Arabidopsis thaliana: one gene and its partners. The protein of the gene in region 1 interacts with the protein of each later gene in a pairwise test. Each region holds a gene or a part of one and is shown on either strand. Other genes may lie near its edges.

Evidence for each region.
Region 2: the proteins of AT1G21000 (region 1) and AT2G31720 interact in a two-hybrid assay, tested with the Arabidopsis thaliana proteins (one large-scale study listed by BioGRID).
Region 3: the proteins of AT1G21000 (region 1) and AT5G61590 interact in a two-hybrid assay, tested with the Arabidopsis thaliana proteins (one large-scale study listed by BioGRID).
Region 4: the proteins of AT1G21000 (region 1) and NF-YA3 interact in a two-hybrid assay, tested with the Arabidopsis thaliana proteins (one large-scale study listed by BioGRID).

Annotation. Positions count from the first base shown.
Region 1 is NC_003070.9:7,334,432-7,342,512, reverse strand, and holds AT1G21000 (PLATZ transcription factor family protein), read right to left. Parts: upstream 4,909-8,081; 5' UTR 4,595-4,908; coding exon 4,592-4,594; exon of another isoform or gene 4,588-4,591; intron 4,507-4,587; coding exon 4,303-4,506; intron 4,216-4,302; coding exon 4,000-4,215; intron 3,743-3,999; coding exon 3,425-3,742; 3' UTR 3,061-3,424; downstream 1-3,060.
Region 2 is NC_003071.7:13,482,763-13,489,628, reverse strand, and holds AT2G31720 (B3 domain protein (DUF313)), read left to right. Parts: upstream 1-3,653; coding exon 3,654-4,595; downstream 4,596-6,866. Other genes in the region: AT2G31730 (basic helix-loop-helix (bHLH) DNA-binding superfamily protein), read left to right, coding at 1,036-1,152, 1,262-1,327, 1,405-1,470, 1,557-1,601, 1,679-1,846; AT2G31725 (FAM136A-like protein (DUF842)), read left to right, coding at 2,238-2,366, 2,788-2,925, 3,000-3,182; AT2G31710 (Vacuolar ATPase assembly integral membrane protein VMA21-like domain-containing protein), read left to right, coding at 6,734-6,830.
Region 3 is NC_003076.8:24,761,715-24,769,050, forward strand, and holds AT5G61590 (Integrase-type DNA-binding superfamily protein), read right to left. Parts: upstream 3,798-7,336; 5' UTR 3,545-3,797; coding exon 2,939-3,544; 3' UTR 2,542-2,938; downstream 1-2,541. Other genes in the region: PFK4 (phosphofructokinase 4), read left to right, coding at 81-143, 222-518, 619-672, 752-820, 908-1,037, 1,112-1,152, 1,239-1,463, 1,554-1,602 and 2 more; ERF104 (ethylene response factor 104), read right to left, coding at 4,929-5,654; AT5G61605 (EMBRYO SURROUNDING FACTOR-like protein), read right to left, coding at 6,902-7,086, 7,177-7,240.
Region 4 is NC_003070.9:27,403,404-27,411,519, forward strand, and holds NF-YA3 (nuclear factor Y, subunit A3), read right to left. Parts: upstream 4,138-8,116; 5' UTR 3,879-4,137; intron 3,728-3,878; 5' UTR 3,686-3,727; coding exon 3,388-3,685; intron 3,277-3,387; coding exon 3,185-3,276; intron 3,104-3,184; coding exon 3,029-3,103; intron 2,941-3,028; coding exon 2,767-2,940; intron 2,683-2,766; coding exon 2,296-2,682; 3' UTR 2,058-2,295; downstream 1-2,057. Other genes in the region: AT1G72820 (Mitochondrial substrate carrier family protein), read left to right, coding at 54-1,103; AT1G72840 (Disease resistance protein (TIR-NBS-LRR class)), read right to left, coding at 6,101-6,544, 6,638-7,876, 7,980-8,116. UniProt on the Arabidopsis thaliana protein: Stimulates the transcription of various genes by recognizing and binding to a CCAAT motif in promoters.

The DNA of each region.
Region 1 (8,081 bases):
GTTTACCCGACAAATCCGAAATAATTAACAACCCATATATCATACAAACAAATTAAACTATTATTAAAAATAAAAATCAACTAAGACGGCAGATATAAACCATCGTGTGTGGACAGAACCTCTTCACACGTCGTATTGGTGTTTTTACCAGAAGTATTCCTAATTCTGGTTAGTGTTGATAACTTACACTCAATTATATTCCGATATTTTTCTCAACATGTTCATATTGGAGGTTGCCGAGACTTGGGCTTCTTTGGGCCTAATAATTAACCTGGACCAAGTTGCGCTAGTCAATGACATTACATATTTTATTGTCATTGCTTATGCCCATCGATATACTATTCTTTTGTTTTGGTTCAAAAGCCCATCGATGTACAGTGCACTCGATTTCCATGCCTCGTTGTTCAGATAAAAAATCATGCACGTAGATGTTTAATACTCGATTTGTTTTATGGAAATCTTTTTGTTTGAGATTATCCTTTTCACAAACGTTCTGGTAACCCAAGAAGAAGCTCGTATTGAAAATTGATCCATCGTCTTGATTTAGTCTAAACAAACTATTCGCCGATAGTTGCAAATCCTCGGTTCACAACAGACGACGTTTGTTGAAGAACCACACCAAAGTACAAATCATTCACTGTACTCCAAACTAATTTATATATATACACACATTAGGTACGTATATAACGTTACTTTCAAAATAAAGCTATAAATATCCTACGAGTCTATGACGTATATTAAGTTTCGTCGTGATTCAAAGAATTAGTTTCTTGGAAGATAGAAAACCACGGACCATAAATAGCCTTAGCAAATATGGACCCAGCGGAAACAAACAATATAGGAGGATTGATACAACCAAAAATAGACCTCAGGGTTTCGTTTATATTGCCTGTCCCCATGCTGAAAACTATCTTTGCCTACCTTTTGTAGTCTACCAATGTATGAATGAAGAAGCCTGATTTTTATAACGAAATATAATATCTGTTACAGTACATTTTTGTATTTCAAATGTAAGAAAGTAACAGAAAATACAAGAATGTTAGCAACAACGTCTAATGTAGAGCAATACGTAATTATTGATTCCACGAACCAGAGCTGAGAGCCTTAATATTAGTGCCTTAATTAATATTACTTATCCGTTCTAATTATTTACTTTTACGTTGTGCATTGTTGATTAGTCTCCTTTCTTGCATCTAATTAGTATCTTATTGAATCAAATTTGAACCATACATTTACTTTGGCACAATTGAATATAATATTTAAATGTACTGTGGAAATTTCGGCTTTCATCGCAATTCGTAGATAATAGAGGGTTTAGGAGCAGAAAAAGACAGAAGGGTACTGGTTCGGTTCCGACATAATCTGATAGTCAAGAGGAGATTTATATCATAAAAATACTATTTTATAGTAAACGCATGAAACTGTAGGAAACAAAACAATCTCCTAATGTGTAATAATGTGTCCGTACGTGAAACTGCAAGCTAGTCCAAATTTTATTATCTTTTCTTAATTGTCAGAAATCCTAGATTTTAATGTTTTGCTAACACCATTTTCGTAACTCTATGTGATCATTAAGAACAAGTACTATATTCCACATTAAGTAAAGTTACAGAAATAAACAAAATATCACGATTTCGATAGCGACAACAAAACTATAGAAATAGTTAAATACATCACCAAAATCCTTATCCCGTCGTGTCGCTAGCGTTCCCATTAATATTATATTGATTACTTAACGTCTTGGGAGACTGAACAAGATAACTCCACACAAGGTCTCACGTGGTCCCCTCACACTCTCTCAACACACGTGTCGTACACTTAATGGGTTTCTTCGACACGTGTCGTAGTCGGAGTGACGAGGATGCACAACTAGCTGAAAAGTCCGACCTATTGAAAAGTCTATAATGCCCCCATTCGGTCGCTGCCTAAGCCGGTAGGGGCCGGTCTAAGATTACGTGGCAGAGCCACGGTCCTTGGTCGCAATACTCTCTCTTGTATACATGTATTGTTGTTGGCAAGGACTAAAATAGCAAAGGTTTTATCCAAAAGTATAAGATTAGAAATAATGCGATTTCTTGTTTCCTTTACTTCATTTCTGTTCAAAGATTTAGACAGAAATGCAACAAATATATGTTGTGGTGGCCTTCACAACTTACAAGTGAGACTCCGATATTATTTTGAGATATTGTTTCTATTTTTTTCGGTAACTACTAACTTAGGACAAGCACACATTCACAGTCGTTTATCATAAATTCTTTGTGTAACTACTTATTCTAGAAAACCAAACTACAGTGAAAAAACTATATATACTGAAAATATGTGATTACCGCCTTATATAAATTATTTTTGATGTTAACATTTTCGTAAAATAAAATTTGTAGTGATCCTAAACAAGATAATTTGAAATTCTAGTTTTCGACTCCGAGAAATTATGAACCAAGCTCGGAACTTTTTTGGTAAAAGTAAAAAGTTGTGATGCTTTAAGTGTGAAAACCTAGTGAAAAGAAGAAAACGTAAATTTGTGGGATACCTAAAAAGCTACAGAAAACGATTTTTGTGTTTACGAAATGGCATAATTAAAACATTATTATAACTAATGAAATTTTATAAGCAATAACAGTTTGCCAATTATTCGATTCCGTGGATTAGTAGAGAGTTTAAAATATGATGTTGAATAATTTTGAGCGATCAGAAAAAGGAATGAACACCCGTCTCTTAACGGTGAGAGAGAATCGCAGCCTTTCGGATTCCACACGGCTCTTATTTTCCTCTATCCACTTGCTCACTTTTTAAACCGCATAATAATATTCTTTAGCGTATACTATTATAATATTCTTCTTGATTACGTCAAACTACAACAAATCAATCAATAGTATTGAAAAATATGTCTCAGTGTCACTCTTACGACTTTTATACAAACCATGTAACCATGACGACATGACTTCAGTTACACATTACCATATAAAACAGTTCATGAAAGGATTAGACTACACTAACATTTGTTTTAGATGAATGTCACAAAATGGTGATATAGACTAAATATAGTAGTCACTAGTCATTAGACAACGCATAAACTTTATAATATATCATTCACCTTGATATTATTATTGTATGAACAAAAATTTAATGTACACATTACATTACAACACAAGACAAAGCCATGCCTTTTAAACAAACTAAACATCAAACACTTCCACTATAAAACCTAATTCTTCTATACTTATAAAAAATGTATTTATGTATGTGTTCTAATTATTTCACCTTTATCTTTTAGAAAAACTATAAAAAGAAATAATACACATTTACAACATTATGACTACATCCTAAATTTCACCCCAAGTTATACATTGTATTATACCATTATCTATATATATATATATATAATTAATTACTATGGGGTTGGAAATTTAGTAATTATCTTTTCTTAGAACGGAGCACGGTGAGGGACACCCTTTCGTCTGCTTGAATTCCGGTGATTATAGATCGGAGGTGTTCCCGGAGAGAAACTAAAACCACCTTCATCACCAGAGCTTGAAGACCTTTGATCACCATTGGGACCGTAGTCATCGAATCTAACGGTTGAGATCGAGAGACCACTCATCAGACGGTTGAAAGCATTGGTCTTACGCATCTTAGTCGGTGTAGTAGCTTCATCTGATTCCGACCCACCAAGGTACTCTCTCCCATGCTTTCCTTTCAAAGAGAAGGTTAGAGATAAATCTCCTCTCCTCATTCCTCCAAGCTAAACAGAACAAAAAACAACCAAAGGACAATATCGTTATTTCCACAAATAACATTACAAAAACAGAGCATATCCACATGAATCACGAACAAAACTAAACAAAACCGGATAAAATTTGATATAGATATCATTAAGAAGTGAAATGCGTTAATGGGTTTTAAGAAAGTTTACATTTTTGTTAAAACCATATGAATTGTTTCAAACAAAAATGGTGAAAACAGGGGAAAAAACAGAGGGAGAGTCTTTTTGTGTTATACCTTGCAGCCGAGAGAGCAGAACCTGAAAGAATCAAGGAGACTTCTGCAACAGATTTCACAAGTGTTTGTAACACCTTTACCGATTCTAGGCTGAGGTCTTTCATTGAGGAACACGATCTTTGCGCTGTTGATAATATATGTCTGAACACAAGCGATGTCTATGAACTTCTGTATCTCATTCACTCTCACAACGTTATGGTACGAAGATCTTCGTATCTGCAAATTTTGATTCTTTTCATTAACATTACAATTAAAAAACCGAGAGATTGAGGAGGAGAAAAAGAAGAAGAAGAGATATTGAACCTGAACAACACGATGGTCTTTATGTTTGACTAAACAGTAAGAGCAAAAGGCATTTCCAGCACAATCAAGACAGAACAAATTGCATTCGTTTTTGTTTGAATCGACATGGATGGAACAAGGGACGAAGTAACTCCCTCGTAGCATTGGCATTAGCCACGGTGGACTTGTATAGTCTTCTTCTTCCTCTGTTCTTATCATTGGTCCCTGAACAAAACGAAACCAAATCAGAATCTGGAGAAGATTGATAGCAAGGTAAAAACAAACAAAAAGAATTAAAAATAAGACTCACCATGACTTTCTTGTGATTGGCCTTGAAGGCCCCGAAGTTGAGTTTGTGATTGTGGTTTTCGATAGCCAGATTTGCGAGCTCCAGTGTGTAGCAAAACCTTTACGAGAAGAAGGTAGAAGAAGAAGAAGGAAGAGGAAGAGGTAAGTGAAAGCGGCGGCTGAAAGAGAGAAAATAAAGGGTTTTATTTTTATTTGAAGGCGGTCACGATAAGTTTATGCGGTTTATATTTCATACGAATTTCATTTTAAAATATTTTTAGAGTTATTTTTGTTTATTATTAAAGGTATCTTTTTTGTTTGTTCCTAAATTATATTTTTCTGACTCCTTTATTTGGGAAAATCAATTTGTTTTCTTCTTTATGTAATTTGGGAAAATCATTATCTCGTTTTTTTTTTTTGAAGTCCTCCAAAAACACACGTATCTTGAATATGCGTGTCTGTCCAGTGTGCATCTAGAAGACCTAAAAGGAAAGTCTTAAAAGGTTAAAAATAAAAGGTGAAAATGCGATATTATTGTTCAAATATGGTCATAAATAATTACGTTTCGACATAGAAAAAAATAGCATACTAATTTTTCAGCTTACGAATGATATAATGATTGATATATTTTCATATCATCATATGTATAATAAGCGGACAAACACATATGTGGATGTCAAATCTAGTTAAGCATTGAGAGTGATACAACAAGAATAAAGGAACTCCCACACTTGAATTTGTAAAAGTCAAATATGAAAATAAAAATTAATTATGGTCAGAATTAGAGAGACAAATAGTATTATCCTAATTCTTTGTTTTTCGTAAAATTTAAATCCGAAAATTGAAGAGATAAGCAAAAAAGAGAGAAGAGGTGGCGATAGCTGAAAAGCCAAGACAGATCGACGGGTATGAGAAGAGACAGAAGCGAGACTAGTCTTGTTAAATCGTGAGCCGTTGGATGATGAGAAGAGCCTTCTCGTATTATCCTTTTTCGTGGGACGTGTCGGAAGCTTTTACGGTTTTACCCCCTCCTCCGATTGACACTTCACACTCGTGGAGAACTCTGAGCCGTCAAGATGATAGTTAGAGTGGGACTCACTTTGAGTCATAGGTCAACGTTCAGCTGCCACGTTACTTAACGTGATCCAAGAAACAATAAATGGAGTTCGTTTGTAGTTCAAAGTTAAAAACAAATTATTAAACTTTTAGAAGTAGAGAGACTAGAGTTGTTTTTGTAAATTTGTGTGTGTGTGTGTGTATCGTTTTTAACCTGATAGATTCTCTGGTAAAAAGTCAAATCCTGTAGTCTTAGAGAATCTCCTTTGTACTTGGACGTTGTTAAAGCAAAAAAAGTAAGCAATTCGAAATGTACGAGTGTGTCATGTACTGAACAAATAAAACATTTTAAAAAATTCAAAATGTTGATTACGAGTGTGTCATGTACTGAACTAATAAACATTTTCCAAATACGGTGAGATTTGATATTGAATATTGTGAATATTAAACAACTAATAGAGTGTAAAACATAGATATTAGCTTTTGATGTCGAAAGCAATTAAAGATACTAATTAAGGAGATAGACATGTAAAAAGAGAAGTGTGATCCACGTCATGAAAAAATTATGTGACCACTAATAGTTAACAATGTAATTGGAAATCCGACCAAAGAAAGTGAGCATAGAACGGCGATGAGGAAAGTGGAAGAAACATCTTTTTAATTTGTATTCTTATCTCTTTCAAATTGGCAAAAAAGAAGCAAAAGAGAAGAGGCGTTTAAACAGTAGAACGCACGTGCCTCACGTGACCTTTGTGCACCGTTTGACCACGTGAGTCGTCAGAAAAACGAGGGTTGTCTTAGTAGAAGCCAAACATGCAAGTTTTAAGAACTAAATCATGCATGAAGTCGGAAAATGAAAATCTACCCGATATCTAAACCACTTCTTATAGAATTGGTCCTATAAAAATGGACGGTAACCTAAAAATCAAATTTGAATGGTAGCTAAACTAGTTAAATCTATAAACATGCTTTGGACGAGTCGGATCATCAGTTGAGACTTGCGAGGTTAAAACTACATTCTCTCTATTTATTGGTATACAATCCGAAAAATGTTTTGAGTTTTTGTCTATAGTTTTTTAAGATAAAAACTAAAACACATTATGTTTTTCTTTCCGTTTCATTTTCTAAGTTTGGGAATGCGGACAAATGGAACCGAACCTTACCGGATTATCATTGGGTACGATTAGGTGTGGCGGGTCCACTACAGTCTACTTTTTTAATCATCACCCAAATGTTATATATTTTTTAACGAAGATTAATGAGCAATTTGGATGACCAACAAAAAGTGCAATTTGCAGCACGATGGAAAGGATTTGAACCCTTTTTTTTTTTTTAATTCTTTTTAATCAATTTGGGTGCTTCACTCTCTTTTGCAACTTGCTTCTGGTGGCAAAGAAGAGCCAATGGAAAAACATGTTTGGCCCTTAATTAATTACACGCTTCCAAAACAAAAGAAGTCCTTAAACTTAGAAAATTACAATATTGATTACTTTGTGGTTTGATTTAGATTAGAGCTGAACGTCGTGATGATACTTAGATTAGATACGCATATATAACTCGGCGATTCACTTTTTACAATGAACTATTTTATAAAAATCTAGGATGCAGATGAATTAATATATTCAATAAAATCTTATCAATTCTTAATAACAAAAAGATTAAATATTTGCTTACTCTTAATTGACTTTAAAAAAAGGGTAACAAAATTATGTTTAAGCTATCTCTCATGATTTTATTTGTTTTGACAACACAAAAACAACACACAAATAATATGGAGATAGAAAGATATTAACTCACAAATATAAAACTATTAAGAAAGTCAGGAAAAGATATCGAGTTTTTCATGCATTAAACAATTTCACTAACAAACACGTTTATATATATGGTACAATAGAAACAAGAAAAACTCTAGGTTTTGTTAAAAGAAATAAGTTCGAGTAATTAACCCTAATAGTATAACCCAAGTGTAACGAACTTTAAATTTGAAGTAACAATTTTTTTTTTTGTTTGTAGAATTATCCACAAGCATACATACGAATAGTAAACCACGCATAGCCATTAGAGTAGTGATATGGTCGACTAACCCTCCGAAATGGTGAGGAGTTGTATGGAAGTTACTTATCAATTCGAAATTGTCATCCGAAAATTTAAAAGGACTCTTCGTATAAGGGTAAAGACAAGGAGCAAAAAAGTAAAGACAAGAAGGTGAATGAATGATATAATCTCAGAGAAATGAATAAACTATGAATACGCATGAAGATACGATCGACATCATTCATCGGAGTTAGGTCCTCGATTTCGGGAAGGAGCTTTTCAAAGGAACCAAACCAAGTATACGGACAAAGATTACGCTATAAAAGTATTTAGCCGACAAGAGTCACTATCCTACGTGTCTCTTTAACAGTACTAGGATCAATCCAGGTTCATCGATCCCTATTTTACATATAACGAACGTA
Region 2 (6,866 bases), on another chromosome or scaffold:
GACCCTTTAAGTAACGACGCCGTTTTCATCCAAACACAAACCTCTGGAATCGTGTCACCGTTGGAGCTCCGGCTTCATTAATGGCTTTCTTCAAGACCTGAAGACAAAAGAAAGTAAAAATATATATACACTAGAGAGACCAAGATCCTCGTTTATGGGTTTCATCGTGTCTTGTGCTTAGGGTGACATAAATACCCATTTAGAGAGCTTAGACCAAGAAGTTTTAGAGTTTGTGAAGTTACTTGTTGGTTAGTCTGCTGTTTCTGGCAAATGCTGAGTCTCTTCTCTCTGTAAGTTCTTTTTTCTTCATTTACTCTGTTTTGTTCCCCATTTTTGGTCTTTTTGACTTAACTTAGAGTATTTTAAGGCAAAATAAAATCATGAATCTTTTGGTATTTTTTGTTCTCATCTTCTTGTGGGGTTTTTCTATTGAAGTTTGCTTAGCTTTGAATCTTGTCTAATGGAGCTAACTCGATCCAAAATAAAAACACGTATAATGATTAACTAGTTCTGCTCATTAGATGAACTAAATTAATGAGTTAATTCCGTAGTTTCATGCATCCTACAATGTATTGTCTATGTATGGAAGCAAAGTATGATATCATATTTAAACATCTATGATTGTGCTACTAAACTTTAAATAATACTTTAAGCTGATGTGATCTTATATGGATAACCTCTGACCATTATCTACTTTCTTTGACCATTGCTCTTGTTTTCTAATCCAAAAGTCGTATCTTCCAATGCATTAGTTGGTCCAAACCTAGATTTGCATCCCTTAATTTGTAGTAGTTAACATCTAATTTTGATGTTAAAACCAAGACACCACTTTGTTTGTCTGGTCTGAGAATATCTCAAGGCGTATAGTTTTGTCCTTATGACGCTTGCAAAAGCAAGTTGTTGAGTTGTAATCTTATGTTTTTTTCTGCAACTTGCCTTGGATGAAGCCATGAGATTATCTTTATAAATGGTAGCAAGTAAACCGGTTTCTTATGTCGAAAAACCGATCATTTTTGTTTTGTTTGATGACAAGGAATGGAATACTCTAGAGACTCGGCAGAGATGATGATGGAGACTAAGCGCAATGTCTACTCGCTTGAAGATAACAAAATTAAACGACACAAGTCATCTGATCTCTCTTTCTCTTCCAAGGTCTTGTGATACATCAAAATCAAAATTCATTGTGGCTATGAAGCTACCGGACATTTCTGTACCAGCATGCTAATGATCTTGAAACTTTGTTGTTCTGTGGTTTAAACAGGAGAGGAAAGACAAATTAGCAGAACGTATTTCAGCTCTTCAACAACTAGTTTCCCCTTACGGAAAGGTACTACTTGGTCCGAAATAATCTTTCTTACACGCTCTTTGTCTTCTCTAGCCATGTTCAAGTCTCTATCTATGCAGACCGACACTGCATCAGTTCTTCTAGAGGGAATGCAATACATTCAGTTTCTTCAAGAACAAGTCAAGGTCTGCTCAAGTTTTCTAATCAAATACTTTTCATTCATTCACCTCCTCCAATCCAATGATGATTATGCTTGATTTTCTCTGTTCAGGTTCTAAGTGCTCCTTATCTGCAAGCAACCCCTTCTACTACAGAGGTGAGCTGAATCTATGATCTGGATCTCGTTTACTTGGATCACAATGCAAGACTGATATTTTCCATCTCTGTAACTAGGAGGAAGTGGAAGAGTACAGCTTAAGAAGTAAAGGGCTATGTCTTGTTCCATTGGAGTATACATCAGAAGTTGCTCAAACCAATGGTGCTGATATTTGGGCTCCTGTGAAGACTCCAACATCTTCTCATGCTTTTAATCTCTCGTCTTCTAATTCGCCCTTTCAATGAGCTGCTGCTAAATTCTCTGTCTCAAGACTAATGAAAATTAGCCAAAGCTTTGGTCTGATCATGTATTGATGGAGAGACCTTGAAGTCGGTGATGGCTGTTTCTGTTATTTTTTACTGCTTAATCCCAACTCTGTGGTGGCTTCTTGTAACAATTGATTCTAATGCGAAGTTTAACGGACCGGTCAATGACCGGAATTAGCTTCCTGTTTAATAAAGTTTGAATTGGTGAAAAAGAGTTAACCGGTTTAGAGAAACCCGGGAAACTTAACCCGACCCAAAATTGTCAAACCCGTTTTGTTTGCGGCTATTGAAGGATCTTCTATTGAAGAGAGCAGCTAGCTAAAACCCTAAAGCCCTAAAATCAAAATTACGCTAAACAGAGAAGGCGACAATGGATCACATCGCTGCGGCGGAAGAGCAAATCGTATCGGAGAGACTTCGAAGAAAGCTTGAAGAAGTTAATGTAGCTGCTCAGACTCAGCTTTCTCCTATCCAAGATCACATCAATTTCACCCTTCAGGTATATACAAAAATCTGTACTTTTCGCGAGCTCAGCATAAATTCTCTCTGATATAACAATTTAGCAATGTTAGCTTCTGAATATGGAATCTTTATTGGTTTGATACAATGCTAGTTTCAAATTTGATGAATTGAGTAGGTTCATGAAAAAAGTCTGAAAATTTGCATTTGGGTTCGTACTATATTCGTCTTTAGACACTATGGATTAGGTTCACGACAATTGCTCTGGTTTAATTACTATATTGTGCTCTGTAGGATATTCGATAAGTAGGCGTGTCTCGTTGCATAACAATTGCTCTGCTTTGTCTTCAGAAGCATGAGAGTTATTAACACCTTCTCTTGTGTTTTTGGGTTGCTATATTGAGTTATATGATCCGTTGATTCAAATTAATTAAACCCTGACAACGATATCATTGTTGCAGCAAGCTTATTTCAAATGTGCATATGAGTGCTTTGATAGAAGAAGAAAGCAAGAGGAGATAAGTAACTGCGTCGAGCACTGCAGTGTTCCCGTTGTCAAATCTCAACAGTATTTCGAGAACGAAATGGCTCAATTTCAGGTAAAGATATCTGCTAAAAGATGATACATAGTTTGCTGTGTATAAAGACTGATTTTTGTTGAATGAATGTATAGGAAAGATTGAACAGATCACTGGTGGTGTGTCAAGACAAGTTTGAGGCCTCAAAGCTCCAGAAGATAAGGCCTGAAGCGGTTAACGAGATGGAGAGTTGTGTGCACAAATCCATTGAGGAAAATCTCAATACATTACCACATATTGTGCAGAGAATGAAGACAGCATTTAACATAACCAACTAAAAGCTCTCGTGAAAAACCTTGGATTCCAGAACTTGACTAGCCATATTGTTTGAAAAGACCTTTTCTTTTGTCTTAATATGATCTACAAATTTGTTTTCCTTTTTCTTATATTAAGTTTTAAAATTTGCCACTGTTTTGGAATAACTGTATTTGCTTGTTCTTCATCTTCCCTAGCGAAAACTTTAAAACTCTATAAAAAAAAATTGAGGATAAATACATGAATTTAAAGATTGAACCGAACAAAAGAGACTAACCAATAGAATAGAAGCAAGTAATTTAGTGAATATCTAAAACTAATATAAAAATATATAGAGATTATCACTAACAAAAAAAAATAAAAAATAATAGAGAGTTATATATACCTTTGTTCGTTTGTGAAAGGAATTGACAATCAGAATCATATAAAAGCAAGACTATAAACTCCTCTCTGCCGCTTAACTCTTTCTTCTTGTCTCTCTATTTTTTATAACAATGGTGAGAGGAGATGATCAACTTAATGGTTTGCAGGGAGGGAAGAGAGCGTTAGATATTTTATGTGTAGCGACGGAGAGAACGGTTAGCGCTTTTGCATATGAGGAAATAGGAGAAACATCCACTGAAGGTGATAAAAGGAGGGAGAGACTGAGAAGACTGAGAAGATTAATTAATTACAGTCTGAGCACAACTATGAATTCCAGCTTGAGCAAACGACTGAAGATTGATGAGTGCAAGAATCAAGACCCGGAACAAAACCCTAATCGTGTTGCTTCTTCTCCAAGTTCGTGCCATCTAGAGTCCAAGAGGCCTCAAAAAGTGGTTTCAAACAAACCGGTAAGAAACAGAAAGCCGGTTATAGTGACAGATGAAGATAGGACACCGACGGAATGGCTGATTGACGTGATGAGAGAAGTGAACGGTATGGATGCAAAGCTGATATTTGTGAAGGTTCTTCCCAATAGTGATGTCGACGAACTTCAGACACGTCTTATGATGCCCTGGAAGCAGATACTAGATATGGACTTCTTAAACGAGGAAGAGTTAGAAAAAATAGATAGACATCACAAAAAGATTAGTGCCAGTGACAAAGGAGCGGATGTGATCGTGGTGAATTCTAAGGGTCTACAGAGGAAGCTTAAGCTCAAGAGATGGGATATGACTTCCACTTCCAACTACGTCTTAGGTTTAGGATGGAACAAGGTCGTCACCGATAACATTCTACAGAGAGGCACTAGGCTTCGGATCTGGTCCTTCCACTCCCCAGACATGCTCTTTTTCGCCTTCGTTCTTTCAGATCCAGATCCAGCTCCGACTGAGTGCCTAAATTTATTGGCTAAATTGTGCGAGGAGACGACTTGTCTCGAGGCTTTACAAGAGGCAAATAGGATGAGCTCACTCGTCTCGGACACAGAGCTGGACCTCGAGCTCCGGTTGTAGTTAAGAGTTTCCAGCAGCAAAAAACAGCTCTTCTAGCTCTACTGCCGAGGTTTGCCATGCAAGTATTTTTTTTTCAGACACTCGATGTTGAGTTAAAGTTTGAATATGACTTGACAATTAAGTCATTAAATCCTAGAGAGATTAGGACTAGAAACTTTAGGAGATATCTAAACAATATTTATGAGTTATCTAAATATTAGTTCTATTAGGATTAGGATTAGGATTGTTTAAGAGATCTCTATATAAGGAGATACCAACATGTGGTATAACTTATGAGTTGAGAGTTTAAGTTTTGAGTAAATTTCTTAAACTAATAAAGAGAGTTATTCTTAAATCTTTGTGTTCTTGATCATCTCAAACTATATTCGAAGATGGCTTTTTTGGATTTTTGTCCTTTTTATCTAGGTGTTTTTTTTGGGTCTTTTAGCTCAATATACTGAGTGTTAGTGTTAACATTACGAGTTTGTTTTAGATTGTGCTGATTTTCATCCCTTATATAGTTCCTTTTTGTTTGAACGGATGATATTTGTTTTTGGCAAGTTTTCTTTCCCACTTGTAAGATCGGAACAAACCAGTCAATGACATAACGAAAGTCATATAAACTCGTAAGATCGGAAGTCGGAACACACCAATTATATATATAACGAAAGAATGTAGTAAACAGACAGTGACATGAATATATCTCACATAATCAATTCAGAAATAATATATAACTTTGACCCAATTGGTCCTCTAGGTAGACTGCAGTGACGTACCTATGAGCCACGATAAGAAGCCAAGCCATGTTCCTCTGCTGAGCTCTCTGAAGAATACTCAACTAGCTTTTTCCGTAGCTCAATATGTTCATGGCGAAGTTGTGCAAGAGGCAAATAGGAGGAGGCTCACTGGTCTCCGTCACAGAGCTGGACATCCATCTCCGGTTGTAACTAGAGATTCCAACCAAAACAGTTGTGCTATGTGACTAATCTCTGTTTATTGTAGACTCTTGCTCTATTGTCGTGGCATGCAAGTTTTTCATACTAAATAATCCTAGCGTAAAACATAGAAACTAGTTTGAGTGTTGGTTTCCCCGGACATAACTCCATCAAGACATGGTCTGCCGTATGATAGTGCATTCCTAACATGGATGGTAATTGGAGAAGAAATTCACACAATCCAGTCCAGGAATCACCTCACCAAAAAAGTTAGCAGACTCTTCTCTAGAAACTTTCCGCATCAAACAAAACAATTGTTTGGGAGTACTTTATGCTTCATGCCAAATATCCACTTTAAGAAAAAATGAATCAGATAACACAAACAACGAAGAAAGTAGACCAAAGGAAAAAATAATTGTTACCTTGTCAAAGAAAAGAACATACCCTTGTACCACATAATGTGCAAGATCAGATGCATTCAAGGAGCTAGAGGGATTTCCGCATATTCATGATATGCAACCTAACGAGCCTCCCCTGAGTTAACCATTGACTCACTCGGCCCCTTAGACATTGTTTGAAGCTCTTCTTCAACATAAGGTGGCCAAACTAAAGATGAAGACTTAGTCACAAGAGGCAAATACTGAAAAGGTGACATAAGATCTTGCCCTCTTCTTCTCCATTGCTTATTATTGCCTTCCCTATTTTCTTGAAAAATATTTAAAACGCAGGATAAAAAAAAGTCTGCAAACAAATCGACATTAGCTTGAAGAGAAAGAAACTCATTTTATTTGTTTCCCAAAGTCAAACAAGAGAACACGTTCATTTACTCTGCCAGGTAGTGGAAAACAACGTGTAGTCGGTATGCTCTGGTTAGAAAACGGCACGTAGTTTCTTCGAACTTGAACCGAATAAATATACCGGCTTATGCCGGATTGAAATGTGGTTTTAGTATATCTTTCTGGTTTAATAATGGCTTCCTTGTGATTTTGATTGACAAGGGAAACTCTGTAGAGAAAAGAAAAAATCTCGACTTCGCAAATTGCGAGAGACATTGAGTCCAAGACCGAGTTAACTCGCCAGATTCAATGTAAAGTTTTACTTTTGTCGCCTAATTTGTGTTATTTAGGTTATTCTGTTGAAAACCCTATATATAGATTCGTGTATTCTGTTTTCCACATCTTGCATCTTCGTTGATTCGTGGTTTAACAATTTGGATGCAGAACCATGGCTGGGGTTATGCAGAAGTTCCTTATTGCATCAATGTTTATGTGGATTCTTCCTATTGCAATATTATATGGATTCAACAATGATTTGCTTCCTGGTAAGGCTAAAATTTCCAGGTTTGACTTATGTATGA
Region 3 (7,336 bases), on another chromosome or scaffold:
AAGCTTGATGTGTTTTTTTCTAAGCTTTTTTTTTTCGATTTGCGGGTGTTTACTTGCTCTCAAAGCTCCCTCATTTTTAGATTGTAGTCCAGAAGGGAAGTAAGCGAGGAGTACACTTTAGGCGAGCAGGGCCTCGAGAAAGAGTATGATTTCTTCTTTAAAGTGTTAAACTTTTGTGAGATTTTTCGCAACTGAAACCTGTTAAGTTTTTGGTTATACAGGTGTACTTCAGATCAGATGAAGTAAAAGCTTGCATAGTGACTTGTGGGGGCTTGTGCCCTGGAATCAATACTGTTATACGGGAAATTGTATGTGGATTGAACAATATGTATGGTGTTAATAACATTCTCGGCATTCAGGGAGGATATAGAGGCTTTTACTCCAAAAACACTATGAACCTGACACCTAAAGTAGTTAACGATATTCATAAACGCGGTGGCACTTTTCTTCAAACCTCAAGAGGAGGACATGATACAGCGAAGATTGTTGATAATATTCAAGATAGAGGAATAAATCAGGTAGCTAACATAACTGATTTCCATTTTGTCCATAATTTTTATGTAGTTTAGTTTGTATTGAAGCTGAGCCATCCTAATATTTTGTCAATGTGTATGTCAGGTATATATTATTGGAGGTGGTGGGACGCAAAAGGGTGCAGAGAAGATATACGAGGTTATTTCATATCACATATTACTGAATGCTGAATGTAGCATTAGTAATTCTACTGATACTTGCTTCATATTTTGTGAAGGAAGTTGAGAGGCGTGGTCTTCAAGTGGCGGTTTCTGGCATTCCTAAGACAATTGATAATGATATTGCTGTAAATACCCATTGATAATTTTCAACTTAAGGTCTACTTTTCTCTCATGTGGAGTTTCTTATACATCTTCTTCATCCATTGTTCTAGGTGATTGACAAATCATTTGGCTTTGATACGGCGGTTGAGGAAGCACAACGAGCTATTAATGCTGCACATGTAGAGGTCGAGAGCGTGGAAAATGGAGTTGGTATCGTTAAACTCATGGGCAGATACAGTGGTAAATATTCTGTGACATATGTTGATTACTTTCTTTTGTGAATACGAAGTTAACTTGTGGTACAAATTCTGCAGGTTTTATTGCCATGATTGCAACTTTAGCGAATCGTGATGTGGTAATAGATTAGTTTGATTGTTAAATTGTCACTATAAACTTTCTTTATTTGTGGTGTATAACAATGGGAGCTTTGAAATGTGACAGGATTGTTGCTTGATTCCAGAGTCTCCATTTTTTCTTGAAGGAAAGGGTGGGCTCTTTGAGTTTATTGAAGAACGACTCAAAGAGAATAGGCACATGGTTATTGTGATAGCTGAAGGAGCTGGACAGGATTATGTTGCTCAAAGCATGCGTGCATCTGAAACTAAAGACGCCTCAGGAAATAGACTCTTGCTTGATGTTGGTCTATGGTTGACTCAACAGATAAAGGTATTGGTCGAAACTCGAAAGTTAAGAAAATGGTTTCTATATGTTTTCCCTCAAACATTCAAGATGAATCTTGTGACCACTATGTTGCAGGATCACTTTACAAATGTTCGGAAAATGATGATAAATATGAAGTACATAGGTATATCTTCAGACTCACTGTCTCTATCTTGTTAACAACAGTTAACACTCTTCTGTGCATTTCATTGACATGTACTTGTTGAACAGACCCAACGTATATGATAAGAGCAATACCGAGTAACGCATCAGACAATGTCTATTGCACTCTTCTTGCCCAAAGTGCAGTTCATGGAGCAATGGCTGGGTACTCAGGTTTCACTGTAGGACCAGTTAACAGTAGACATGCTTACATCCCAATTTCTGTAAGCTTTTCTCTTTTACTTCTCTAATCATTCTTAGACTAAAATCATTGAGTCCTAAACCTTTGTGGTTAAAGTTAATCCCATGATTTTTTACTTCTGCAGCAGGTGACGGAAGTGACAAATACGGTGAAGTTAACTGATAGGATGTGGGCTAGACTCCTTGCATCGACAAATCAACCGAGTTTCTTGACTGGTGAAGGAGCATTGCAGAATGTGATCGACATGGAAACTCAAGAAAAGATCGATAACATGAAGATCTCTTCTATCTAAGAAACAGGTCAGTTGATATTCATCAACTGTTCCAAATGTATACTAGATATATATGCATAGGAGATATCTTTATCAAAAAACCATGAAGTAATTTCATTGTTATAACTTATAAGAATTCTTTGGTTTTAGTTATTCCTAATAATAATAATCAACATCCATCTCAACGATGAGGTTGAGATGTTAATACATATCTTCCTCTGTTTACTTTTCCATATTGCAACTTGTGCATCTCTCCCCTCTTGAGCTGTTGCGTGTGGTCCATCCAATTCTTTGTCATATTTAAAAAATGAATGCTGACTTGTACCCAACCATGAGACAAAACTCTGGCTGCTATATTCTTTAAACTTGGTCCCTCTTGCAACTTGTTCATCTTTCTACTCAATTCACTGATTCACGCTTTCTGGACATGTGAACTAATTAATACCTCAGTGATATCGAATAGTGAATACTGAAGCCACTGTACGGTACTGTTTGTGTCATTGGAGAAACTTTAAGGCTTATGTTAAGGTCTTTCAGGTAGAAATTCGATTTTAAGTATCACAGTAGATTAATAAATAAATGTAGTCGATAGATTTAGGTCCTCTTGTCTTCCCAAATAGTGTACTCTGAATAAACCGAAAGGACAAGAACTTTGTTTCTAGAACCTTAAGCTCTTTAAGACAAGAGAAAACGCAGAAGTTCCATTGTTACAGGAACTCTTTAGTACATATTTTGCAAGAGTTCTTTTCAGTACACTAGTCTAACAGGTTCTTGGCTCTATACATGATGCTTCACATACTTAAGATATTAACCTATATATACTAATTAAACATCACTATTCCCCCATTAGTTTGATGACGATGATGAAGTACTTGTTGTTGTTCCTTGAGGCTGTGGTACATCGGTTCTCCTCCTTTTTCGGCATGAATTGACCGGAGCATCATACTTTCCGGCATCCAAAGGAAAGTTGAGAACAGCTTTTCTTCCCCTGAGCTTAAAAGCTGCATAGTCGTAAGCCCTTGCAGCATCAATATCACTCTCAAAAGTGCCTAACCAAATCCTGGATCCTTTCTTTGCCGGATCTCGAATCTCTGCTGCAAATTTCCCCCATGGCCTCCTTCTCACGCCTCTGTAATGTCTCGTTTCTTCAAACCTCTTTGTTTTTTTCCGGTTTGAGACAGTCTCAACCTCAGGTGACGTTGTTGTTGATGATGATGATGATGATTCTGCTTCCATTTGCAGAATCTCTTGGACATAGGAATCTGGATCAAGAACAGGTGAACTAGGTTCCAGTTTCGGAACTGGGTTAAAGGGTTCTAGAGACCAGAGTCCGGAGACAAAAGCAGTATCATCAAAGACAAAATCTTCAATGAAACCATCAGGGATCATCAAGTCTTCAAATAGATGTTTCTGTATAACATCCAAATCAGAGCTTTCCTCAAAAGTCTCCATTTCTTCCTCTCTCTTTTTTCTTTAGACAAGACAGGAGAATAAGAAAAACTGCAAGTGGTGTTTGAAGAAAAAGTTTTGATGATATTGTTGGCTATATAAAGAAAGGAATCCTAAACATGTGTTAACGCAGCCATGGGTGAGGTGTCAAAAGTCTCTCTCTGTGTCTCTCTGGTTTAACTCTGTGGGGCCAAGTCTTATCCATTAAACATTTATGGAGGCAACTTAAGATATTTTGTCAGGACCCTTCAAGTTGTGCCAACTTGATCTTGTCTATGATGCTGACAAATTTCACTAACATCCATTTTATTCCTCTAGAGTTTAAAATACCTTGAGCTACCCATGGTTCGAATCCTAAGCTGAATGCTAACAAAATGGTGATTATTTTTTTTAACTAGAATTTTGATTGAGTTGGTTAAGGACGTAGGTTCATTTGAAATTTTAAATCTAAAACATAACACAAACCAAAACCAAAAAGACTTGAACTACTAGTGTTTATAATCGTAACTTAAGTCTTTAAAAGCCAATCTCTCAAAAGTTTTTTCTTTTTTTTTTTTATCTTAAAAGTTTTATGATAAGATTGATATATGATTTTCGTAGTAGTAATGACTCACTAGGTAAGCTCTTAAATATCAAAAGATATTTTGCATATTCACATTCGAGTAAAAAGATAAGAAGATAATGACTTTCACTCGAATAAAAAGGAGAGACAAATTCATCAAATTGCTTGTCTTGTAGGGTTGTCTTGCTAGGATATGATTTGAAGCAACTTGATATTTCTTTGTTTCTACATAACTTCGTATAGGGCTCCACATATATAATAACCAAACCTTACCCTCTTGCTCAGTTGCTTGACAATTATACTCCTAATCTCATAATCTTTTATAATAGCATGTAAGATAATATTAATTATTTACTTTTATTGATGCTTTGTAGATAATCTTCGACAGCATTATCCATTTGATTGGTGTTTTCCACTATTGAAATTTTGAATTTGTTTAGATTTGTATGTATTTTTAACTAATTAATTGTCTTTTCGTTGCACACTATTTTTTTATAGCTCCGATTTACTTTTTCCTGATCCAATTTTATAATCTATTGACTATTTAGCAGATATGAAGTGTTTAGATATGGACTTAACGAAACTGATGACTAAGAATGTTTATACAATCAATAAATTTATAACATCAACAAATACAAAATTAAATTTATATTTTCAACATCCAAATATTCTACTAAAAAAAATAATGAATAAAATGATTGGTACTAATTAAACTACTTATTTGATATTTGCACACTACCGCTACCTTTATATTATACAAGAATAAATGAAATCATGAGAGTGACGCAAGTGAAAACGTCATCGTACGTTGACTTTTCCGAAGTTTTAAGTGACGGAGATAACGGAAAAGTTGGGAGACGTCGGAGATAACGGAGGAATACTGAAAATACCATCTCCTGCTCCCACATCCCAAAACCCCATCCAACTTGACGGCGTCAATGGTACCACCGGCTCAACCTCAGCCTCCGTCGTCTCCGACGTATTACTCTCTTCTTCCTCCACTTTAACCCTAGCCGCCTTCTCCTCTTCCGGCGGAGAACCCTTATCTCGCTTTCGTTTCCCTAATCCGATAACTCCTTCCCCAGAACAAGTTTCTGACGTAACCCTAACATCGAGAGGGAAATTCAAGATTGCTTTTCTTCCACGTAATTGAAACGCCGCTTGGTCATAAGCTCTTCCAGCTTCCACGGCAGTGTCGTAAGTCCCAAGCCAGATCCTACAACCCTTTTTGTTCGGATCCCTAATCTCCGCCGCGTATTTTCCCCACGGTCTTCGTCTCACTCCCCTGTAGTGCCTCTCTTCTTCCTCTTTCTCTGTCTTTGTTGAAACCGTTCTCGAGACGGATAGATTCGGTAAGGGCGGTTTACGCTGGTTAAGAGTCGAATTCGGTTTAGGGGATTGGTTGGTGATGGTTCTAGGGCCTGTTTCTGAGTGAAAGTTGTGAAGTTGGTTGGTAAAAAGAGATGGGTGATCAGTTTCCATGGAAACAAAGTCTGTGAGAAGGTGTTGGCTTATGAAATCGATGGCTAAAGCTTCTTGTTTAGTTGCCATCTTCACTCTACTTGATTGACTCTCTTGCTCTGTTGTATATGTGTATGTGTGGAAGTGGGAATAAGAGTGACGAGGAATCGGACTTTCTTATATAGTGGTAAAAAAACAAAGAGAGGGTTCGAGCCTTCGAGGGAGTTTCGAGGATCGGACCGAGAAAGATCATACTACCTTTTCTTGGACTTGTTACTTATTTTCTCTCTTTAGATTTCGTCCTTTTTCTTTATTTTGTCTTTTTGTCTTATTCCTCTACGTGGACATCTATCATTTAAAAGTGCTTATCAAGTTATCATGTGATTCTTCTTTTAGAATTTTTAAAAATGCAATATGGATTATTTTTAGTATAAGTGGAGTTTGATTGAGATGTATTAAAAATTTAAGGAGTTTAAAGAATTCGGAAAACCTATCAAAACTTTGTTGTAGTAGTTATGCCAATTCCAAAAGGCAAAGGACTTGGAATATTCAATCAAACACACCTTCATACATTTGCCAAAATTCTAACCATTGATCCTATATTTCTATTTCACATCTTCATCTCGACAACTCAAAGTTAATATAGTTTCTAAGTTTTTTAGTTTCGGTCCAAAACCGATCACATGCAAACAATTTCAGGAAATATCTTTAATACTGTTTTAGAATTATTTCAAAAATAGGGAAAAATTTTATTTAATGATCCAACTTTTGAAAATATATGATATTTTTATATATCAATTTCACATGTGTTAATTTTTTAACATGAACAATATGTTGATTAACTGTTTGAAACATGAGAATGTGTTGATTAGACTAAAAAACCAAAGAGTTATCAAGCGATAACAGATTTTTAACACTCGTTGGCACCTGTTAACGACTTCGTTAGTCAGCCCAAAACGACATCATTTAAGCTTTGATCGAATTAAAATTAGGACTTTTCCCAAATTCAAAAAATCAATCCCAAATTTTCCTAATTCATGCTTTTGACGAAACCCTAATTATCTCCCACAATCTTGAATTCGTTTTCACGAATACCTTCAGTTAGAAAGAAAAGCATCACATGGAATATTGGATTACCAATGCAAGACGAATTCGTAGACATGCAAATTGCAATGGTAACACAATTACCATAAACATAAAAAAAAATAAAAAAAAATATGTTAAATTACGATAAGCATAATCGTAATTGTTTCCTTTCCATAAACTTATATTTATTCATATATCAAGAGAAATTTAAACGTAATTAGTAAATTGTAGATATGGGTTCTTCAAGTTTCTTAAGCCATTGAAGGAGATTCGCGCTTGCAGACAGACGTACAGCCTCGTTTATCAAGAAAACAGGTCCTCGGTAGTCCGGCACAGCAAAAACACCATTTTTGATTTCTGTGTTTTGCACATTCGACACGCAGACACATTGATGGATCTAATTGCAGCTCCGCCTCAGAACCTTGTGCGTTTCCAACTATAACAAAAGAGAAAATAGGAGTTAAAACTAACTATAATTGCGATGGTAGATGATGAGTTATATGCATGCAAAAATGTATGTACTTACATTCATGTAAAGGAACGAGGAAAATCATGAAGAGGCAAAGGATAGCAAAATATAATGATGACATTGTTGTTGTGATATATTCTTCTTAAAATTATACCGAAACGTTGTTTGTTATAGGTTGGTCGAAATCCACACAAGTAATAGGGTTTTATATAGTACT
Region 4 (8,116 bases), about 20 Mb from region 1:
AAAAGTTTTTTTTTTTGTGTGTGTTTCTCTGGGTTGGTTAGAAAGTGGCGAAGATGAATTTGGGTGCGGCCGAGGAAGAATCGGCTCAGGAGATTCATTTACCAGCTGATATCAATTGGGAGATGCTTGATAAATCCAAGTTTTTCGTTTTAGGCGCTGCTTTGTTTTCAGGGGTATCTGGAGCTCTTTATCCTGCGGTTTTGATGAAAACTCGGCAACAAGTGTGTCATTCGCAAGGTTCTTGTATTAAAACTGCGTTTACTCTTGTGAGACATGAAGGTTTAAGGGGATTGTACAGAGGATTTGGAACTTCTTTGATGGGAACTATCCCTGCTCGTGCTTTGTACATGACTGCCTTGGAGGTTACTAAGAGTAACGTAGGCTCTGCTGCTGTCAGCTTGGGGTTGACAGAGGCTAAAGCTGCTGCTGTTGCTAATGCGGTTGGAGGTTTGAGTGCTGCGATGGCTGCACAGCTTGTTTGGACTCCTGTTGATGTGGTTAGCCAAAGGCTTATGGTTCAAGGAAGTGCTGGTCTTGTTAATGCATCAAGGTGTAATTATGTTAACGGGTTTGATGCATTTAGAAAGATCGTTCGCGCTGATGGACCGAAGGGGTTATACAGAGGGTTTGGGATATCGATTCTGACTTATGCGCCGTCTAATGCTGTTTGGTGGGCGTCTTACTCTGTTGCACAGCGGATGGTTTGGGGTGGAATTGGGTGTTATGTCTGTAAGAAAGACGAAGAAAGCGGGAACAATAGTACCACGATGAAACCAGATTCTAAAACGATAATGGCTGTTCAAGGAGTTAGTGCTGCGATTGCTGGAAGTGTTTCTGCTTTGATTACAATGCCACTCGACACAATCAAGACGAGATTGCAGGTTCTTGATGGGGAAGATAGTAGTAACAACGGGAAGCGTGGACCGAGTATTGGACAGACTGTAAGAAACTTGGTTAGAGAAGGTGGATGGACGGCTTGTTATAGAGGATTGGGACCAAGATGTGCTTCAATGTCAATGTCTGCAACAACTATGATCACTACCTACGAGTTCTTGAAACGGCTTTCTGCTAAGAACCATGACGGGTTTTATTCTAAATCATAGTGATAACAACTGGGAATCCACATAGAAGAATCTTTTATGGAAATGTCTCTAGTTTTCTTACTTATCTTGTTCTTTATCTAGCTCTTCTGCTATTTCATTTGTTTCCAGTCATATGTAAGGAATGTGTTAAATTCAGTTGTTTTTAAATAAATAAATGTTCTTTCCACATTGGCTTGAATTCAGTTTCCAGGTATCGGTTCACCATAACCGTGCTACTAAACCGACATGATATGTTGCAATGTTAAAAGATGACTTGTAAGACTTTATTTGGCAATTGCAGTCTTACATCAATAAGCACACACGACAAGCTTTGATTTGGCAACATGTTATATTTAGAAGTAATTCATGAATCACTTGCGAAAGTGATATGTACAGGATTGTGACTTTATATATTTCACAATGCTGTCTTTTTCTTTACAGAAGTTAAATTATGATCATTTGTTAGTATTTGAGGGACACAAGTGTGTGTGTATCTGTCCCATAAGTCAACGTGTTTTGGAGCAGTATTTTACGTTTCTTCTTACCTTATCAAAATATTATATCTTAAATAGGAAATAATGCATAGAGACTGCCTTGATATTTTGAAAAAAATATTCATGAACGTGTGGAAGAAATGGTAGTATTTTCAAGTGTATGACATCTTCTCAGACAGATAAAATGAGACTCAAAGTAGAATCTTTCAACCTTTTTTACTTTATTTATAAGAAGTGTATCAAGAATAAGACATAATCTAATATATACTGGATTCTTCATTAAATGTTTTCTTAAACATTGTCAACTAAATTGTAAAATACTTCAAGAATCCGAATGTGTCTCTTCACAGAAATCAATGGAGTGGAACCAGAATCTGTATTTTTCTTCGCCATTTTCAAACAGAATAAGGAGACTTCTTCATTGCCGACACAAATGAAGCAAAAACAAACATATATAAATCCTGAAAAAAACAAAAGAGGAATTGAAAGTTTATCAGAAGAATCATATCACTAGTTTAGACAAGAGATCCATGGTAACAGAAGATGAAAAGGTAATAGAGTGTTTCAAAGTGAAGATCTTGGTCGTTCTTGTGATGTCTAACACAGACATAATATGAAATAAAAACACTGAAGTTACAACAAGCGAAAGAACTAGTAGTAGCCAAGGATGACTTCCCCTTCTTGGTGGGAACATGAACACAGCACCAAGATCCACTGTCTCAGATATGGACAGAGAAATGGTGCATGTCTCCACCTCCATGCATGTCATTAGACTGACCATGAACAAGCATGGCTCGGTTTATCGGAGTTGGGAAACCTGAAAACTGGAATTCAGTGTGTCCAAAGATATCAGCACCGTCGGAAACAGAGGTGATGTCTGAGCCAGAAGTGGTTGAGCTGCGGTCTTTGTTGTTCTGCAGCATATGAGCTTCGAATCTAGACATGTTGGTCTTTCTGTTTACCTGTTGGCCTAACTTGTCCTGTTCTTGTTCTCTAGCAGCAGCCTGTTCGGATTCTTGAAGAAGTTTTTTGGTGTTTAGGAATCTTCCACCAGATCCTCTTGGCCTTTTAAGAGCATGAACATGTCGAGACTCATGAAGATAGGGCTGTTGCAATAAGAAAAAGAAAAGATGAGCAAAGCAATTCTACGTGTATGCGTTTGTTTAAAATATAAACCAAAATTTGGTAACTACCTTACGGGCTCTGATTAGTTTGTTTTGAGCCTCAAGCTTAGCACGTTGCTGTCTCCTCCTCATAATTGCGTGGTATTGCTTCGCATTGACAAAGACTGGATCAGTTTCTGTGAGCTCTGCTGGTAAAGGAACACGACCAGGAATCATACTCACCATTTGAGGATTGCATGTCTGCAAAAGAGATTAAGAGACTTGAGATCTGATGGACAGATAAAACTGAAAGGTAAATCTCCCACTTGGAAACGAAGGGTGTACTTACTGGTGCCTGTGGTAGGTAAGTTGCAGCTAATAAACCACCATAATGTGGATCAGCATAGTGAAATGAGAAATTAGCCTGAACCATGTATAAACATAAGATATCAGTCTACAATCAAAAGCTTTGCTATGATTACTGTATTCATAGAGTTACAAATACCTGTGCAGGAGCAAAGTGAATATTCGGAAATCCAGTCATCGAGCCTTGTTTAGGATTACTTGCAAACCCCTTCCGTTGAGTTATTTCAGATCCTAGAGAAACAACTGAGAAAGTAAGAAAGAGGATAACATTCTTTATGGCAAAAGGATGATTCTTTTGTCAATGACACAAGAAGTAAAACATATATATACCAACAATCTAACCTGATTTAGCCGAAAAGGAGATTTGTCTGGAAGGATTATCATCACCACTACTAGCAACTTCAGTATAAGATTGACCAGTGGACTGTGTTGAAGATGAATCTTGGTCCTGAAAACTGATTTGCTTTGTAGTTTGTATATGCCCAGGTCTTGAATCAACCTTCAAGCTTAGTGATTCAGCAGAACCGCGACGATTAGCAACGGAATCAGTTGGAACCACTCCCCAAGAGATGCTAGTATTAAGGTATGGCAAAGTGGAATGAGTAGCTGAATCTTTCTTATTCAACATCTGATGCATCATAACGTCTTCCTTAACAAGCTAATTATTCTCACAACCAACAACCTAAATAACAATCAAAAATGACTCAAAGATTAGATTTTTAAAGCTAATAATCCAAGTGGGTGAAAAAACCCAGAATAGAAAGAAACAGAAGTTGGAAGTTTCTAAATTTGAGTAATTTTTTAATTCTCTAAACGAACTGATTCGATCGTACTATCTTGGGTAACCAAAACACGATTGCAGAGATCGCTACGATTGGCTAAAATTAGTAATTTTCCGACCAAGAAAAATTTCTTGTTCCCGTCATCACTTTTGGGCAAAAAGTCGTTGACTTGAAGATGAATTATTTTAGCAAGAATTTTTCAGAATCAGTAAACATCAATCGCACGCCACAAGACAGATACACCAATAATCGAACAAAGAAAAAAGGAGAAAAATTTGACAGAAATTAAACATCTTTTTTTCGAACAAAGAGACTACAGATGCAGAAAGAAATAGATAAGAGATAGAGAAAGAAACCTCTTTGAGTAATCGATGAAGCGAAGAAGAAAAACAAGGGATAGAGATTTATTTTTGCATGTCTCCTTTTGTCAAACAGAACCAAAGTAAACCAGTTTGTCTCTCAGAGTGAATCAGAGAGTGATCTTCGTATGTAAGATCTTCTTCTTTCTTCCTTGTTTTGGTTCGTCTCCGTCTCTTTTACCTTTCCTGGGAAACCAACATCGCCATGAGAACCACCACTACACCAGCTTCTCCTTCTGGGTTAATTATTGTCTTAAGTGCTCTTAATTATTCATTTTAAATATCTTAATTTATTTGGTCTCACTTTAACCCAAAACACAGAATAAGGCTCTCTGGCTAACCCTACCTTATAGAATCAATTTACCCCCAAATAACGATTAGAGCAGACTCTTTTTTTGAAAATCTTTATTAATACGAAATCGTCCAACTATATTAGATTCCTAAATTCCCTGACACAGTTTTTAAATTTTATAATTTGGAGGAAAAACACAACAAAAATGATTAACAATTAAAAGCCAACAAATAATGTAATTCTGGAAAGGTAAACGTACAATTCAAGATTTTTTTTTCTCTAAAATTAATGATTCCTATCTCTACAAAGCCGTTAAGAACTTTACCTTTATTTGTTTTTGCTCATTTAGCAGTAATGTATTATGAGCCATGTATTATATATACTAGTATAAGGTTTGTTTTATATTAACTTTTCCCCCATCTTTTGTTACGAATATAATAACTACGGTTTGTTTTGGCTGTATGATTTCTTAATTTCCATTATCTCTAATAATGATTCCAAAAAAGTAATTAGCTATCTTGGCCACGTTAGCTTTTGTTTGATTATATTTTTAATTTGTATGAAGCTTTTAAAATGTTATTTAGCTTTTTGTCCAAAGTGTATTGTCGTTTCCAGACTAAAAACATTTCTGAACTCTGAACAGTCCTTAATTTCCCCCTTATGCCTTTACTCGTTAGTCTTTAGCCGCCCCTCCCCATATTGATGTCACACGCTCTCCTAAGCTCGTGATTCACACGCTCTCCTAAGCTCGTGATTCACACGCTCTTACAATTTTATCATGGGAATAAATAACACGAACAGTTTTAATTTACAAGTTATAGACCTGCAACCAGTTTCCTTGAGTATAATAGTTTAATGAAAGTGTAAGCATGTAAAATGAGATGGGAAAAAGGATTGTATAATACTAAAACTTAGGTTGGGTTCTTAATCAAGTACCTAACCTTTTTTGCAATGAAATAAAGCTCTAGTGCAAGTCAAGCATAGGAATCCCTCCTTTATCCTTGGAAGTAACAAGTAACAACCAAAACATAATAATTGTTACTTGATGTTTTCTTAATTAGTTTTTAGCATTCCTTTATTCCCTCTGTTTAATGTTTATGGGCTTTTAAGCCCTTGATTGATCCATAAGAATTAGGACACGTGGGCACTGGATATTGGGTACTCATCAGTCCGTCATCATCCCATATGCACCAAAATCAAAAGTTATTCACCTTTCTTTGGACCAAAATCAAAGGAGATTCAATGTATTAGTAGTTGTTTTGCAATGATATTTAATGTAACATTTCCAGTGAGAACACAACTCCTGTGGGTTTGGCAGCTCCAACTTTTCTTTCTCCATTTCTAGCCTGATGAAATACCAGAATACAATCTGGTAAAGCTTGTTGAGCAAAAAGGGCAGACATCGAGTACAAAGCAGAAAGAAAAAATTGGTTCTCTTAAAAGGAAAAAAATAAAATCAAGTCACAATTAAACCGAAAAATACCAAACCGATTATAAAAGCAAACCGACACGAGGTTACATGGGTAGTAATTTATTTAGTTCCAAAACGAAAATTGGTACAAATCCTTGTGTTTAGAAATCTGCAGATCCATCATCATCTTAAGAATTGATCTCCGCACCAGCTACTTTAAAACGAACCCAACGTGTTCAACTCCACACAAAATTATCTCGTCGCCCGGCTCCGGAACTTGGATATGGGATTCGAATTGCACCTCATCAATTTCTGCGCTGATGATGCCAGTTGGGATTTGGACAATGACCAGGTGATGCCATTTATATGGTCTATTATTGTTGTCCTCCATCATCTCTGATGATTGATAGAGATTTGGTTTGAGGTTAATCCGATATAACCTGCTACCTTCACAGTCCCAATTATAAGAAAACGCTGGAAACTGTAGATGGAAGGGCTTTTCGCAAACAACCATGATTTGGACAAAGAATCCCACAAGCTTGGGGGCAGCTTTAATCTTAGGTAGTTTGATCCTCATAGGTTCCCTCCATGAGGTTCGCATATTGTTGGTAGAAGCAATTGAGTATTTCGTTATACAAACAAGTCGAAATGGAGCCTACGTGCAAAATGAGAATCAATCAAGTCACAACTTAAAAATATAGCTTATGAGGGGGTTAAAGGGAACAGATTATAGAGAAGAGAGCCTTACCTCTTGAGAATATTCCTCGTTCATAAAGTCACGAACCAGATCGCTAATACATTCTAGACTGATGCAATGGCTAAAGTCCAAGTGGTTGAAAGAATGATTCGAAGAGAAGTTAACATGCTCCAGAGATTCGCACCCATGTGCATAGAGATACTTGAGGCTCTCTGGAAGATCTGTCAGTGAAAAGATTTTGTTGCAGTTGTTGAGGTAGAGAGTTCTCATAAAGGATAACTCTCTGATGCTTGTTGGGATTCTCCTAAACTCGAGGCTGCTGAGATCTAGATATGTTAACTTGGTGAAATGACTAAGCTCCTCTGATAATGACACAAGACTCTTACAGTTTTCAAGGCTAAGCTCAAGCAACTCGTTTCTGCCTGGAGCTGATTTTTCCACACTAAGAATTCCCATCAATGATCCAAGACTCTTGCATTTTTCAACGCAAAAATCAAGCAAATTGTATCTGCCTGCACCAAGAATTCCCATCAATGATCCGAGCTTCACACAGCCAGAAAGTACGAGTCTCTCCACCTGAGAAAGTTGTGGCAGTGCCTTAAGTCTGCGACAGTTACTGAGGCTGAGGTACTTTAACATGGCAAGTTGTCCCATGGATGTGGGTAGATACACGAAATCATTTCCACCGAGGTCCAGTGTCTCTAGGAGCTGCAACTGACATATGTCTTCAGGGATGTCTTCAATGTTTAAGTTTATCAGCTTTAGCTCGGTCAGACATGGAAAGTCTGCAAAGCTAAGACAGCTGAAATTAACAGGATCCAACCTGTAACTGAACCGCTTGATGTCGAGTGATTTCAAACCAAAGAAACCAGAGTTAAGTAGATGTGTTACTGATTGATGAGCGGTCTTCTGCACAGAACTAAAAGACAGATGGTCTCCCGTACCCGAGAGACCCGACAACTTAATGAATATTTTCCCCTGGATAGCTAGATCTGTCAGAGAACTCAGTGTCGCCCCTGAATGAGGAAGGTTCAGTATAATCCGTTTGAGGCCCCAGCGGCTGAGGCTGGCTTCTTGAAGGTCATTGACGAGTATCACTCCCTCAAGACCATCACAGTACATCATATTTAGTTTCCTCAGATATAATCTATTAATAGACTCTGGGATTTGCACCAGGCTCGTACAGCTTTCCAATATCAACTCTTCAAGATTTACTGCGGTCGAAAGTTCTGGAAGTTCTCTGAGATTCCTCGATCCTGTTACATCTAGTATCCGTAGGTTTGGAAGCAGCTGAAAACAATACAGCAAAACACAGAATTACAGGAAAGATAGGTAACAATATGACGACCTTATCAGAAAGAGTAAAACGAATATGTAATTTGAATGAGCATACCTTGGTTCCATCCCAGAGGCTGTTGAGTTTGCTGTATCGCAGACTGAGTTCAATAATGGTGTGTGGTCGAAAGATAGGTGGCAATATAGTCAATGGATAGGCATCCCAGTGTAGTAACTTCAGATTACGAGAAAGAA